2 linked regions of the Anolis sagrei genome follow. The protein of the gene in region 2 interacts with the protein of the main gene of each other region in a pairwise test. Links are inferred from orthologs where the notes say so. Each region holds a gene or a part of one and is shown on either strand. Other genes may lie near its edges.

The links.
Region 1: the proteins of USH1C (region 2) and USH1G interact in binary tests that used the Homo sapiens proteins (3 or more experiments, as listed by UniProt). The link is inferred for Anolis sagrei from reciprocal best matches to the Homo sapiens genes USH1C and USH1G.

Annotation. Positions count from the first base shown.
Region 1 is NC_090022.1:116,863,387-116,870,354, forward strand, and holds the start of USH1G (pre-mRNA splicing regulator USH1G), read right to left. Parts: upstream 3,006-6,968; 5' UTR 2,842-3,005; coding exon 2,678-2,841; intron 1-2,677. UniProt on the Homo sapiens protein: Plays a role in pre-mRNA splicing by regulating the release and transfer of U4/U6.U5 tri-small nuclear ribonucleoprotein (tri-snRNP) complexes from their assembly site in Cajal bodies to nuclear speckles, thereby contributing to the assembly of the pre-catalytic spliceosome on target pre-mRNAs.
Region 2 is NC_090021.1:247,950,044-247,958,026, forward strand, and holds the start of USH1C (harmonin), read left to right. Parts: upstream 1-4,948; 5' UTR 4,949-5,086; coding exon 5,087-5,122; intron 5,123-7,983. UniProt on the Homo sapiens protein: Anchoring/scaffolding protein that is a part of the functional network formed by USH1C, USH1G, CDH23 and MYO7A that mediates mechanotransduction in cochlear hair cells. Required for normal development and maintenance of cochlear hair cell bundles.

The DNA of each region.
Region 1 (6,968 bases), on a different chromosome or scaffold from region 2:
ACCATTTGGACTTCTGAGTTTCCCCAGCGCTTCCAAGAGATGGAGAAGAAGTAGTAGTTGCTGAAGCCAACATTTCTGGTCCTTTGGCAAAGGTTTATAATCAAAGGGATGCTGCTACTAGATAGGACTTATACAGAAACAAAGAAAGGAATAGCTAGTACATTTTGCCTGCGTCGGTTGTGGCATGTTGAGAGAACTGTGACAACTATCTCAATCCTGTGCAGAGCTTAAAAGGTACTTTTTGGCATATCTCTCAGACCCAGCTACCCAGCTCCAACCAGTTCAAAAATGATGTTTTTCAAGCTCTGATCCAATGCTGTATGGTTACATTGAGAGTCCATTCCTCTGTGTTGATGAAGATTTGCTCAGAAGGATATGCGGCTGAGGACATCAAGTCAGAAATACAAAACAATTCAGTTTTGCACTGATGATAATATGAGAGTTGCCATCTTGGGGAAAGTAACAAGAAAAAGATGTGATTATAAAACTGTATGTGCCATTGATTGTGCCGATACCAAAAAGCTCCCATTTAAGGCCAGCCATTTCTTTACATGATTTGTTCTTTCCTTGTACGTTGGCTTCACTTGTGAAACTGGGAAAAGCCTGTCTTGGGCCAAAAGTTTCCCCTACATTCCTATACTGCTTGCTGTGCGCTTTAGAAATAAAGGGAGCTCCGGGATTTCATCAGAGGCCCCTTCTACACAACTGAATAAAATCCCACATTATCTGCTTTGAACTGGGATATATGGCAACGTGGTCTCAGATATTCAAGTACAAAGCAGATATTGTGGGTTATTCTGCCTTGATATTCTGGGTTATAATGCTATGTGGAAGGGCCCAGAGAAGTTTGGGCAAACCACAGGCTACACTTTGTAGACTAAGGAACCCTTCCACACAGCCCTATATCCCAGAATATCAAAGCAGAAAATTCCACATTCTCTGAATGTGGACTCAGATAACCCAGTTAAAGGCAGATATTGTGGGATTTTCTACCTTGATATTCTAGGATATATGGCTGTGTGGAAGGACCCTAAGTGGGTGGCCTCCAGCAATCCTGCATTTAACAACAACAACAACTTTATTTTTGTACCCTGCCTCCATCTCCCTGAAGGGACTTGGGCCGGCTTACATATGGCACAATGTGTCTAAAACAACACATAAAATAAACATAATAAAACCAAAAACACATAAAACAATAATTTTGATTAATTATTTTGATCTGTAAAATGGGAATAATTGTGTGTTTGCACGTGCATGTATGTGTGCATGCATGCCTTCAAGTAGCCTGTCAGATTCCCTATCTTAAAGCATTTCCGTGACAGTAGCTAAACGAAAATGTCCAGTTATTTGTTCATAGTAGAAGAAGATATGAATCATGAAGAAAGAAATTCCTCACAAATAGATCAGAGTCAATCTCAAAATATACTTCTGCAATAAACAACCAAGACACTTCCTATACTCATTCAATCACTCTCTCTTCATCTCCCTCTATTTCTCTCTGTGTATGTTGTAAAATTTGGCCTTTGGGGGACAGAGATTGAGTGCCCAAGGCCGCATAATCAGGGAAAGGAATGCAGTTATCTCATTACCTCTCCTCCCTCTCGTGTCTCCTCTTCTTCTATAATTTACAGCACCAGTGATTGTAACAGACAAAATAACAGTATACACTAAACTGCATTTTTAGTACACCAATTTGACAGGCCTGGTCTAGCCTTTTCAACGATGGATCTTACAAGCTACTTCATCACACTAGAGAACAAATCCACTTTAAGGGCCCTTCTCCACAGCCCTATATCTCAGAATATCAAGGCAGAAAAATCCCACATTTTCTGCTTTGAACTGGGATATATGGCAAGGTGGCCTCAGATAACCCAGTTCAGAGCAGATCTTGTAGGATTTTCTACCTTGATATTCTAGAATATAGAGCTGTGTGGAAGGGTCCTAAATCCAATTTCTGCCTCTTACAGAAGGAGGAGCCTAAACTCACTGACCTACAAACCCCAGAATTATATGGGAGGCAAAAACTGGATTTAAAGTGGATTCATTCTATTGTGATGAAGTCCAAGGAGAGAACACAAAGGATGCTGCACCACTTCGAAAATCAAAACTTATTCCCCCTGCCCCATACAAAGAAACAGTGGGAGAAAAGAAGTGTCCCTGTTGGAAGCAATTCATCTTTTAGAGTAGTTTCAATTTGCTGCAGATCTACATAAGAATAGAGGACTACCAACTATCTTAACCAAAGAAGATTGGAACTCAGGTTGCCAGACCTAAAAACGTTAACAGATTGATAGGAAGCATCTTTTCTGTCCCAGCTTATAACAACTGTTATATGTTTTGCCAATCATATCCAGGTGTCTCAAGATCACTCCCATACTGGACCATTAAAAGTCCTGTGAGTGAATAACACTGTTTTCTTGTTCACTGAATGAGACCTTCCCAAACTTTGCATCCAGGCAGAGCTTTCCTATTTTAACAGGACCTTTAAAACATGACAATCTTCTTCGTAAAGTTCAAAGTTACATAGAGCCATGCAGGAAGAAACCCAATGATTCCTCTCAAGTCACGAAATGGGTTCACCTGTCCCTTTCTATTTGTATGGGACTTGTCCATGAAATGGGGTTTCCACAGAATCCCAAAACAAAGCAAAACAAACCAGACAAAGCTCAGGACTTACCCCCTGCTAACTATCAACCGCAAGGCATCCAAGTTGCCATGATAGGCAGCCCATAGGGTTGGGGTCATGCCATCCTCGTCGGGGGAGTTGAGGTCCTTCTTGGTGGCCTCTTTTAGCAGATCAAGGTAGCCATCCCTGGCTGCTCGGTGGTAGTGGTCATTCATGATGAGGCAGCCTTATTCCCTAGCCATAGCATTGGGAAGGAAAGTGGGGACAGTCGTAAAAGAAGGGGCATTGAGTTGGATGAACGACTTCCAAAGAAGCAGCTGCCGGAAGAGGAAAGAGGGAGATGTGTTACTAGGACACCTGAGAGTCCCTGGCCAGTGAGGGAAGGAACTCCTCATATTGAATGCATGAGGTTATTTTCTGTGGCTTCCCCTGGGTCCTAAGGATTCCTCTCTTCACCCTGGTATTTGTTTACTTCTCCTCAGCAAACCCAAGTAAAATTAGTTGGGTTTTTTTTTTTTTTTTTGCCTGCACTTCCTAAAAGTGGACAATAGACCATATTATCTTTTCATGCTGTTAGAAGATGTCTAAAGCTAACTCGGGGTTTCTTTTAAGTATTTTTTTTCTTGTACTTGGTCTCCTTCAAATCTTGAACATCAGCATTTTGAAGATTTTTGACTTCCCAAATTTTCTTTTGAAACTCTGACCTTCATCCAGTATTTTTATATAGAGTTTCCACGTAAAGGCTGTCTCAGGCCCTTGAATTTCAGGGCAAAATCTGAGCTAAGGAATAAGATTTGCATTGCTCCTCAGTGAATATTGGACTACTGAGCACATGCGTGTGGACACTGAAATTTACAGACACAAGCACGTGGACAGCATTCTTTGCATAGGCATCATAAAATGTAGGCTCCCATGTGTACTGTCTCTGGGTACAAAATATTAGGTAGGAGCTTAATATTTAAAGAGCCGTTAATGTATATCTAATTTTCTGTGCTGGTCAATGACCAAAATAAATGATTTGATTTGATTTGATATATCTAATTTATGCGTGTGCTGTATTTGGAAATTTGTATTGTTTGGGGAACCCTCCAAGAATTTGATTCCCAGTGAATGCTTGATGAAAACAAAACATATTCCTGTAGATTGAATATGGAGGTAGAGGGGTCCGTTATCTAAGGGCACACACATTTTTTTAAAAATGGCATGCAAAATGGCTCTTTGGCCTGTTTCACATGTTACCTTTGGGACTGCTATGTGTTCCTGGCTTCACTGAATGCCACATTGTCAGGAGTATTTGTATTAGGCCTCTGATTTCAAACAACTACTTGCTGTCTTCACACTTTACACACACATATTCAAAAGTCTTCGGTTGATCCCTAAAACATGAATGTTTGGACTAATGTCTGAACTGGATCTCTAACAGTAGCAGAGCAGCTGACCAACAACTCCCTCTTTTCTGGTTTCTTGAAAATACCTGAGTCTCTGGCGCCACCTAGTGTTCAGACTCTGACACTCACATTTCTAGAAATATTTGCGCGAAGGGAATACTTGAAAATATTCCAAAAAACAAAGGAAAACTTGATTTTTGCAATTTTATATAAGGGACAGCATTTTCCTATGCTATTCTATACAGGCAATCCCCAAGTTACGAATAAGATAGGTTCTGTAGATTTGTTCTTCAGTTGAATTTGTATGTGAACAGAAACGTTTTTTAAGTGTAACTCCAGCCATATATACATAGGAGCCCCCAGTGGTGGGGTGGGTTAAACTGCCGAGCTGCTGAACTTGCTGATCGAAAGGTCACAGTTTCGAATCCTGGGAGCAGCATGAGCTCCCAGTGTTAGCCCCAGCTTTTGCCAACCCAGCAGTTCGAAAACATGCAAATGTGAGTAGATCAATGTGAGTACCTCCAGCAGGAAGGTAAAGGTGCTCCATGTAGTCATGGCATCCACATGACCTTGGAGGTGTCACTAGACAACTTCGGCTTTTTAGCTTAGAAATGGAGATGAACACCAACCCCCAGAGTCGGACTCTACTAGACTTAATGTCAGGGGAAAACCTTTACCTTTACTATATATAACAACACATACAAACACATAGACAAGCACACATACATACATACATAACATAGCATAGGGATAGAGAAATGTTAACACTCCTGTGGGGCTTGTTTTGCTTATCAGTGTCCCTGTTCAGAAGATTTCACCTCACTTTCTGTCTCTGTGAGAATTGGGTTTTGAAAAATTTGGCTTGTTGTGAAAACAAGGGTTGGTGAAAAAGCTGCAGCTGAAACTCCTTTTCCCCAATATAACTCTTTCAGTAGTGGATTTCCCTCTTGATGAGTAGATTTCTCACTTTCTGTTTCCTCAACCCGGTTCTTAACTATGAGTCATTTGTCAGTCAGATGTTTCTAACTCAGGGACCGCCTTTATAGTGGTTCTTAAGCATCCACTGATTTGGGTAGGGTGGTCATGGAATCAAACTCCATCAGATACCAAGGGTCCAGTGTATTTGCTTCCTATCCAAGTTAACCATAGTATTGTGGGAATGGGCCCCACTTCCGATAAGGATAAGTTTTCAGTTATTTCAGTGCTCACCCAGGTTTCTAGTTCCGTGGGAGGATTTCGCAGGAGACGTGTGATGTCTTTTGTGACATAAAATTGGTTTACATGTATACTAGAGATTGTACCTTCAGATTCCAGGTCTCCATCAGATTTCTAGAAACCATTGGAGCTCAGAATTTCTTATGGCAAGCCAACTCTGACATAGACATATTTTCTATTTGATGCACAGACCTCACTCTGTTATTCCTACTACACATATACAAATCACTCACTCCTCACTTTGTTTAATTGGAGAGAGCTAATATAAGGGTTTGCACATTGAAGACCCAGGTTTGATCCTAGGCGTATCATACTCTCTCAACCTTAAAGGAATGCAAAAGGAACCCCCTGAATAAATTTTGCCCAGAAAATACTGTGTTAGGGTTGCCATAAGTCAAAAATAGCTAGAGGTCATACAATAGTAAAGGAAATGAAACTTCTCCACCCATCACTTAAATTTCATGGACCTTTCACTGGAATGCTATTGACTACCAATCATCCTTGAGTTGGTTGCTTGATATTTTGCTGATAATATAATAAATCTATAATACAAAACTTTACTTTTTATCTCACCCTATCTCCCTGAGGGAAATCTTACAAATGACAAAGTTGGAAAGGCTTGAATAGTTGGAAAGGCTTCCTTGAAAACTGAGGACTTTAGGCATCATGACCACTATGAGAAATGGCAGCATTAAAAAAAGAAAACGAGAAAAGAAGAAATCAGACAAATAGAGGAACTTGATTTTTATCTCTGCTGTTTTAATGATCTATTTCCAGTGCTCTTTATGGGCACTTCCTTCCTAAGAGGAACACAATGTCCCTGTCAACCATGACATTTAAACTTCTTCAAAATTATAATCAACATTCCCTTGAAGGCAAAAAAAATGGAATTTGCCTTTTAAATTTGCCTCTGCAGCTGTGGCTTTGCAGGCTTGCTCCACAGTCAGTAGCTGGTGGAAATGATCTGCATTACAGTAAAAAAGCTTCAGTTGCTGAGATCAGCCTATCAAGCTAATGCTAAATGGACAGGAGCAAGATAGGCTAAAGTAGACCTGGACTACAAAAGCTTATGTTGCCACTTTAGTCTCTTCAGTGAGTTTACAAGGTGCTACAAAATGCTCTTGCATAGTGATATTCCAGACTGACACAGCAATGTCTTTGAATTCCTCCTCTCGCTCCACACATTTAACATTTTCCCATCTCCCAGAGGCAAACCCTTTGCAATTAAGTGCTTATGGATTAAACTGAAGTGTATTTCATTTCATTTCAAATATATCCTGCCTTTTCTTCAATGGTTCCTCCTATCATCAACCTCCATTTTCAAACTGGATCTCCCTACCTTAGCCTGGTACTCCAGCCATTATGTATCACTGCCTTTCCGTGGAGCAAAACTGTCTTTCCTTCACAATTTTGCATCAAAACCTGACTGCAACCCTTACATTGACCCCACAGGTCTTGCAGCTGATAGGATGGGTAGGTAGATGATCTTCCAGGTGGTATCATAAGGACAGGAACAACCCAAGACAGTTTTCAGTCTGAGTCAAAGGACAAAATGCTGTGTTTCTTCTCCTGCATATCCAAAAGTTGTCTGGACAGTCAGTTGAATTTTAATTCAGCACCAGTGATGGATTAGTGTCTTCAACTACATTTGAGGTAGCAGTTGTTGTGGTGGTTGTTATTGTTAATTGCCATCAAGTTGACTTCAACTCCATTCCACCTTGTTATCAACAGTGTTGTTC
Region 2 (7,983 bases):
CGTCTCATTATATAAAAGGACACTTATTTCTAGCTTCCTTCCCCTATACAGTGTTCCTTTTTGGCCTTCTTAATTCTCTATCCTTTCCTGCTTTCCTTCATTCTGTGTGAACCTTCTCTCTTTTTGTTCCTCTGCCTATTTATCTCCTTTCCTTCTTTTCTGCCCCTCACTCTCACTCCCTGACCCCCTGTCTCTTTCACTTCATCTTTCAGCTATCTTGTAACAGAAGCTTTAAAAGCTGCCAATGGCAGGTGAGAAATAGTGTCAGATTAAAAGAGTCTTTTTTCAAACTGCTTTAGGAAGTCTGTTAACAGTAAGTAATTAAAAAGATCTCATTCCCCTCTTTGTAATTAGTGCCCATGTATTGTATTTCTAGCCATAACAAGTAATTCACTTCAGTAAGATGGTGAAACAGCAATGACGTCCTCATCAAGAATGCTCTTCTGCTGTAAATACTAATGGGAAAATCAAAATTAGAAGAGAGAGTAAATTCTCATGCCCTCCCCCCCCCCCCCCCCGACATTGATGTAGCCCCCTAAAAGGTCAAACATATTATATTGCATTTGCATTGTAAGAGAAACTTGGAAGTTACAGATTGGCATTCCTTTTCCCGGTAAAGCTTGATTATCTAAATCTCATTTGGCTGAAATCTATGAAAGTTTATGCCATGAATCACATTTATTAGTCTTTTTGGTACTACAGAACTCAGCATAATAGATTAACCTTGCTAGCTCCCTGGAAATATTTCCTCTGTGAATCACCTAAGCTTTGATTCAGTCTGAATGCAGACTAAAGGCAGCAGCCAAAATATCAGGAGTAGCTCATTAGGAGATAGCATGAAAGAACTACATTTTTTTAAATAACATGTCCCATCAGGTAGAAATTATTTTCCTGATTTCCAGGTATTACCTGCAAAGGAAAAAGAGCAGCAGCCAAAAGAACAGGAGTGGCTAACTAATAGTGGATAATCTGAGGAAGATACCTCAAACATCAGCAGAAATATTTCCAGAGGGGTGTTCCATGATGTTTTAAACTTGTTTTTCCAGTGAGAGAGTGTGTCGGTGATGATAAAATTGTGTTCTGCACATTTAGTGAGAAGTAAAGTGTCATTTGGGTTACTGCTCCAACCCTGGCTTTCCATATAGTTCCTGGCCACAGGCCGAAATCTCGCCCAACTCTTGTGTATAAATCACCCAGGAGGATGATTTTCTTCTCCTTAGGTATGTCTCATAGGATGATATCCCGCCGACAGCGGAATTGTTCTTTGATGTCTTTGCTGGCATCTGGTTTTGGTGGATAGACATATATGATAGTTGCCTGCTGGTTTTTGGCAAGACTGATTTGGAGATATTGCAATGGAGACTCAAACTGTACTCAGAATCATAGTGCCACTGGTCATGGCTGTAATATATCGATTGTGACCTTTGTTAGCCTTATTCTCCATGAATATCTCTAATCCTCTTTTAAAGTGCTCTATATTGTTGGATTTCCCTATGTCTTCTGGTCTATATCTTTATATGAGTGATGCAACCTCAATTGATGGGCGTGAAGCTAGTAATGTAGTGCACTGGTGGGTGGGTTGGTGGTTTCTCAAAGGATGTTGAATAACAATCTGACAGGCCAGTTCTAGAAAGATTGCTGCCAGTTGAAGTATAAACTGTATTAGTTGTTAATATTCGTATGGAAAATGGGTTATTTTCTTCTCCTTAGGTATGTCTCATAGGATGATATCCCGCTGACAGCAGAATTGTTCTTTGATGTCTTTGCTGGCATCTGGTTTTGGTGCATAGACATATATGATAGTTGCCTGCTGGTTTTTGGCAAGACTGATTTGGAGATACTGCAATGGAGACTCAAACTGTACTCAGAATCATATGTGCTATGTAATAGATAATTCTTGCTTAATATTCATGAGGATAATATTCTATTGTACGATTTGTTTTATCGTTCTTTAGTTGTATAGAGGAATATATTTGATTATAATATTCGTGAGGAAAATAAGTTTATGAATTCTTATTTATATGTTTTATGTATTTTAGGGTATTTTACTTGTTTAATATTTGTGGGGGAAATAGTTGAATGAATGATATACATATGTATATTATGAATATAATCGGGGTTTTTAAAAAAGCTTTTATCTGTCCTGAATTTCTCCCACTTCAACTTCACTGTTATCTCTGGTCCTAATCTTTTGTGGTGGTTGTTTTATAATTTCTATGTGATATTGCTTTATAGTTTTATTTCTCGTGTCAGGGCAGCCAGTCAATTATATTACATTTCTAACAGAACAAAGCAAACAAATAGAGAAAATACAAAATGTGTGAGTTTGGTAGTTGATTAAATGTCCTTTGACCAGTATCTGGCCACTTGGAGTGCTTCTGGTGTTGTTGCAAGGAGGTCCTCCATTGTGCATGTGGCAGGGCTCAGGTTGCATTGCAGCAGGTGGTCTGTGGTTTGCTCCTCTCCGCACTCGCATGTCGAGGATTCCACTTTGTAGCCCCATTTCTGAAGGTTGGCTCTGCATCTCCTGGTGCCAGAGCGCAGTCTGTTCAGCGCCTTCCAAGTCGCCCAGTCCTCTGTGTACCCAGGGGGGAATCTCTCATTTGGTATCAGCCGTTGGTTGAGGTTCTAGGTTTGAGCCTGCCACTTTTGGACTCTCGCTTGCTGAGGCGTTCCAGCGAGTGTCTTATAGTCATATACCATTTATGTTATATGCTGCACCTTGGAGTACCTTTGTAAGCCACTCCGAGTCCCCTTGGGGAAACTGTGGCAGGTTATAAAGAAAGATTATTATTATTATTAATAATAATAATATCTTAAACTGAGTTCAGAAGCAAATAGACAGCCAGTGCAATGAAGGTGATATATTTTATAGTCTTCACATGACAATGAATTGTGAACTTCCATCATCATCATCATCATCATCATCATCATCATCATCATCATTCAAAAATACTTCTAACTTGGGACTAGGCAATTTAAAGGAAGGGTAAAACAAACTAAAACCATAAAAACAATTAAATAAGGTACCATATCAAAACATCACTAACTTTAAAAAGTATAGAATCATTTTAAATGATATAAAAATTAAGAAAACAATGCAGAAAGATACAGCAAATGGAGTTATCACAATTAGATCCTGAAGTGGGTTTTTGTTGTTGTTGTTTTCACCAGATCTGTATCTTTCACCTGGACAAATTAATTTTTAAAAATACAATTATGCAATTAAAAATAATGATAATAATAAAGAATACACATATACCCCCCAAAGGCTTTTTTTTTTACAATCTATGAAATGGTTACTGCAATCATTGGTTTCCCCTTTCTTGAAAATTGTAAATCATTTTGATTATTTCCAGTATGTGGGCTCTGTTGATATGCTACCTGTTCCTGATGATTTATTTCTCCCAAGTACTCTTACTGCAGCTTCCACTTAATTTTCTAATCATTTTTTCTTGAATGAACCTGCTATCCTTTCATCTCTTTTATATAGTTCTTCAGTGTATTGTTTCCATTTTCTTTTTAGGTATACTTGGTCATGTAAAGTGTCATATAGCATCCCCACTCTTGGTTTAAACATAGTCATCCATGAATGGATTTTTAAAAAAATACTTCAATGGGAAAAAGGCACAAGTAAAATTATGCAAAATAAACGTATATTTTTAATAATTACAGTATATTTTTAATAATTACAGTGGACCCCCAGTGGCACAGTGGGTTAAACCCCTGTGCCGGCAGGACTGAAGACCAACAGGTCACAGGTTTGAATCCGGGGAGAGCGTAGATGAGCTCCCTCTGTCAGCTCCATCTCCTCATATGGGGACATGAGAGAAGCCTCCCATAAGGATGGTAACACATCAAAACATCCGGGCGTCCCCTGGGCAACGTCCTTGCAGATGGCCAATTCTCTCACACCAGAAGCAACTTGCAGTTTCTCAAGTCACTCCTGACACGACCAAAAATAATAATAATTACAGGGCACACAATCCAGTAGATACTTAATGTAAATGCAGATTGTTATATTTGAGTTTTTAATCATGTGGAAGTTTTATCAAGGATGATAAAACATCCAGGAGTCCCCTGGGCAACGTCCTTGCAGACAGCCAATTCTCTCACACCAGACTTGCAGCCTCTTCAGTCGCTCCTGACACACACACACACACGCACACAAAGCTTGCCTGATGATGAGAAGTGGTCCCTTAAACATGAGACAATCCAACATTTATTTCAAATTAAACATTATTAAAAATTTAATATAACAATCCGGCATATACATTAAGTATCCACTGGATTATGTGCACTGTAATTACTAAAAATATACATTTATTTCGCAAAGTTTAATTGTACCTTTTTTCCACTGATGTATTTAAAAAAATCATTCATTGATAGCCATATATTCAATGATAGCCTTATAGTTTTGGGACTGCTCTCCTGGTAACCAATATTTTAGACCCAGTGCACCACTGCTCCCATCAGGCCGGTAGCCAGGATTTTGATTCGGGGGGGGGGGGGGGGGGGCTGAGTCTGAGTGAAAGAGGGTCTAGCCTAGCAAACCTTTTGTTTCGTTACCCCAATACCTCCATGCATATGGGATATATTGAGCATGGTGATCAGATCATGATATGAATAAACATAACAGTTTAAATAATGCACCAGTAAGGCCTTCTCACGGACCACCATGAGAATTTCGGGGGGGGGGGGCTGAAGCCTGGCTCCCATGTGTGTATTTGTCTGTGTACCAGCATCTACAACAGGCATGGGCAAATTTAGGCCCTCCTGGTGTTTTGGACTTCAATTCCCACAATTCCTCACAGCCTTGAGCCCTTTCTTGGACCACCGGGGACTCCTATCACAGGGAAGGTGACACCTGGCCAGCCCGCCCTGCAAGGAACCCAACCTCTTGCCTTGCCTCCCCTTTCCTTGCCTTCCTCCCTGCGCTGCGCCCTCTGGCGGTGACTCCGAGCTCTGCGCGCCCGACCTGAGCCGAGAAAGGAAGGAAGGAAGGAAGGGAAGGAAGGCAGGCGCGCAGGCTGGCCAAGGCGAAGAGCTCAGAGGCAGTCGCTCTCGCTCTCCCCCATTCATTGCCATGGAGCGCAAGGTGGCCAGGGAGTTCAGGCACAAGGTAAGAAAGAAGAGGGCCGCCCTCGCCTTTCCCCGCTTGCTTGCTTCTTGCCTGCCAAGGGACCCCCGCGGCTTTGGCTCCTCAGCTTGGAGTCACTTTCTCTAGCTCTGGGTCGGCTGCGCGGGGGACATTTTGCGGGACTCTGGACTCTGGGTATCAATTAACTCGGCCTTTGCGGGGGGGAGGGGGAGGGGGGAGGGGGGAGGGGGCAGGGAAGGAAGCGCTTCTCCCCGGCAGGTCAGGCGGCGAGGCGCACCTCCGAGGGAGGCATTGGCCTCACTCTTGCCACCCACCCATCCACCCATCTTTTCTTTTCTTTTTTCCCCCGGGCAGGTGGGAATTCGGGTCCACTTTCTCTTAAAGGGCACCTGGATTCCACCTGAGCGCCAAGCAGAGAAAAGGAAGAAGCAAACTTCAAAGTTTTGGAACTTTTGGGAAAGTTTGCTCCCTCAAAAATAATGTTCCCTGTGAGCAATTGTATACAAAAAAGAAAATTTAATAACAATAACAACAATAATAATGAGGATTTAAAGATTGAACTGCAAAGACTCTGGCACAAACCGATAAAGGTGGTCCCAGTGGTGATCGGCACACTAGGTGCAGTGCCTAAAGACCTCGGCCTGCACTTAAACACAATTGACACTGGCAAAATTACCATCTGCTACCCTACTGGGATCTGCACACATTATTCGCCGATACATCACACAGTCCTAGACACTTGGGAAGTGTCTGACATGTGATCCAATACAGCAGCCCACAGAATGATTTTGTTTGCTGTGGACTCATCTTGTGTTTCAAATAATAATAATAATTCATTTATAGCCCGCTTTCTCTCCCCCAGGGGACTCAAAAACCAAAATAAACACTATCCCTCCTTTCCTCTTTCTCTCTCTCTCTCTGTCAGGGACCAAGGGACGTTGCAAAGAAGCTTCTATTATATAATAGTTCTTTTGTTTTTGTTTTTAAAAGAAGTGAATCTAAGAGTTGCAAGTCAACAGGGTGAGATGAGGAAGTTTGGACTCAAGGGTATGATACAGGCATATTCTTGCAACATGGTTTGAACCTATTTCTTTTTATCAGTGCCGCAAAGTCAAATGGAAACTGTCTTTCAGAGGTTCAGTCAGTGGTGCATTAATAATGGGTTTCATTTACAAAAAGCTCCCTTTTCGGTTTCACATCAGAGATAAAAGTTGTTGAGTGTGGAAGGCTGTTCCAGCTTGTTTGAATATGCAAAACCGATCAACATTTGTCTGCACACCTCCTACAGGTTTTCCAGGCTTGTATACCTTATAAAAAATGATCTAATACCTGTTGTTGTTGTTGTTGTTGTTGTTGTTGTGTAACAGGTCCTTCCTGGATTATGGTGCCCCCAAGACTAACCTATGGGAGGGGGGGGTTCCTTTGAAATATTTGTTCAGAGAGGGCTTGTTTTTGCCTGCCTCTGAGGCTGAGAGAGAGTGACTTCCTCAAAGTCACCCAATGTGGTCACCCAGATGTTTTAACATCCTGTGGGAGGCTTCTCTCATGTTCCCGCATGAGAAGCTGGAGCTCACAGACAGGAGCTCAACCCACTCCCTGGATTCGAACCGCTGACCTTTAGGTCAGCAGTCCTGCCAGCTGGAGGTGTAACCCATTACGCCTCCGGGGGCTCGATTTGCTCCTGACATTAAAAAAACCCAGTGTGGTTTCCATAGGTGACTCAGAATTTGAACTCTGATCTCCAGGGTTGTAGTCCAATGCTCAAACCATTCCACCATGCTGAGTCTTCAGATATTTGTGCCTCATTCTTCATATAATGTATGAAGACCATCCATATAACCCCATTGTTGCTGTTATACAATGTTTATTTGATCATTTACAAAAATTAATCAACAGAATTTTATCCTGAAGGTGTGTTTAGATTACTTTGGTTTTGGTAAACTGGATTTTGGTGTCTCCTCTTCTTTGGAATCTTGATCTTTATTTCCCCCATTTAATTGCGTTCAGTGGAGTTCCATTCTGGTTTTTAGATTGGACCTCTCTAACACAACAGATAAAAGTTACACTAATCTTTAAGTCTTCTATAACTTAGACTGAAACTTATCAAATATTAAAGACAAATTTCTGAAAATTCCTTGAAAGGGAAAAGCTGTTGTAAAAATAGATATTAAGACTATTAAGCTAGTTTTCACCAATTTTAAAACTAATATTGCTATGAATGCAATTTTTCTGCTTCTTGGCAGCAGGTTGGACTGGATGGCCAACGAGGTCTCTTCCAATGCTATGATTCTAATAAAAACTGGGCATAGTTGTATGATTATAACATTTATACCTGTTAACTATCAACATTGGGATGGGCAACAGCAGACAGACAGCTGGCATATGTATCTAACGTAATATTTATGGTCTTGTACCTTGTACCTGTGGCCTTTTATGCTGATAAGATTCACATAGACTTCTATTCTCCCCACAGTCCCAATAAATGGAAAAAGCTGGCTCTTCAAAGGGAAAAAAAACTATTCAAAATCTTGCTTTATTGGCTTCTTGATGCTAGGAAGCTACTAGGACTAAATTAATATTAAACAGCACTGAAGATAAGCCATTTTGTATCTCACTTTAAGAGAAAGTTGGGGTACAATTTTTATAAACAAATAAATAAAAGCTGTAGCATCAGTAAAGTAACACATTAAATAGTGATTGAATCTGCATGATTAGTCCTCTGTTTTCATTAAAATCTCAAAGTGAAAAAACTCAAGACAACTCAAACTGAGTTGTATCACCTGCAAATACATTTCTAAGTAATTAGACAGCCTGGTATCTCAGACAAAACAGAATTAAAACTAGGTCATTTGTTGCCCAAAGTAACTAGAAACATCAGTCAA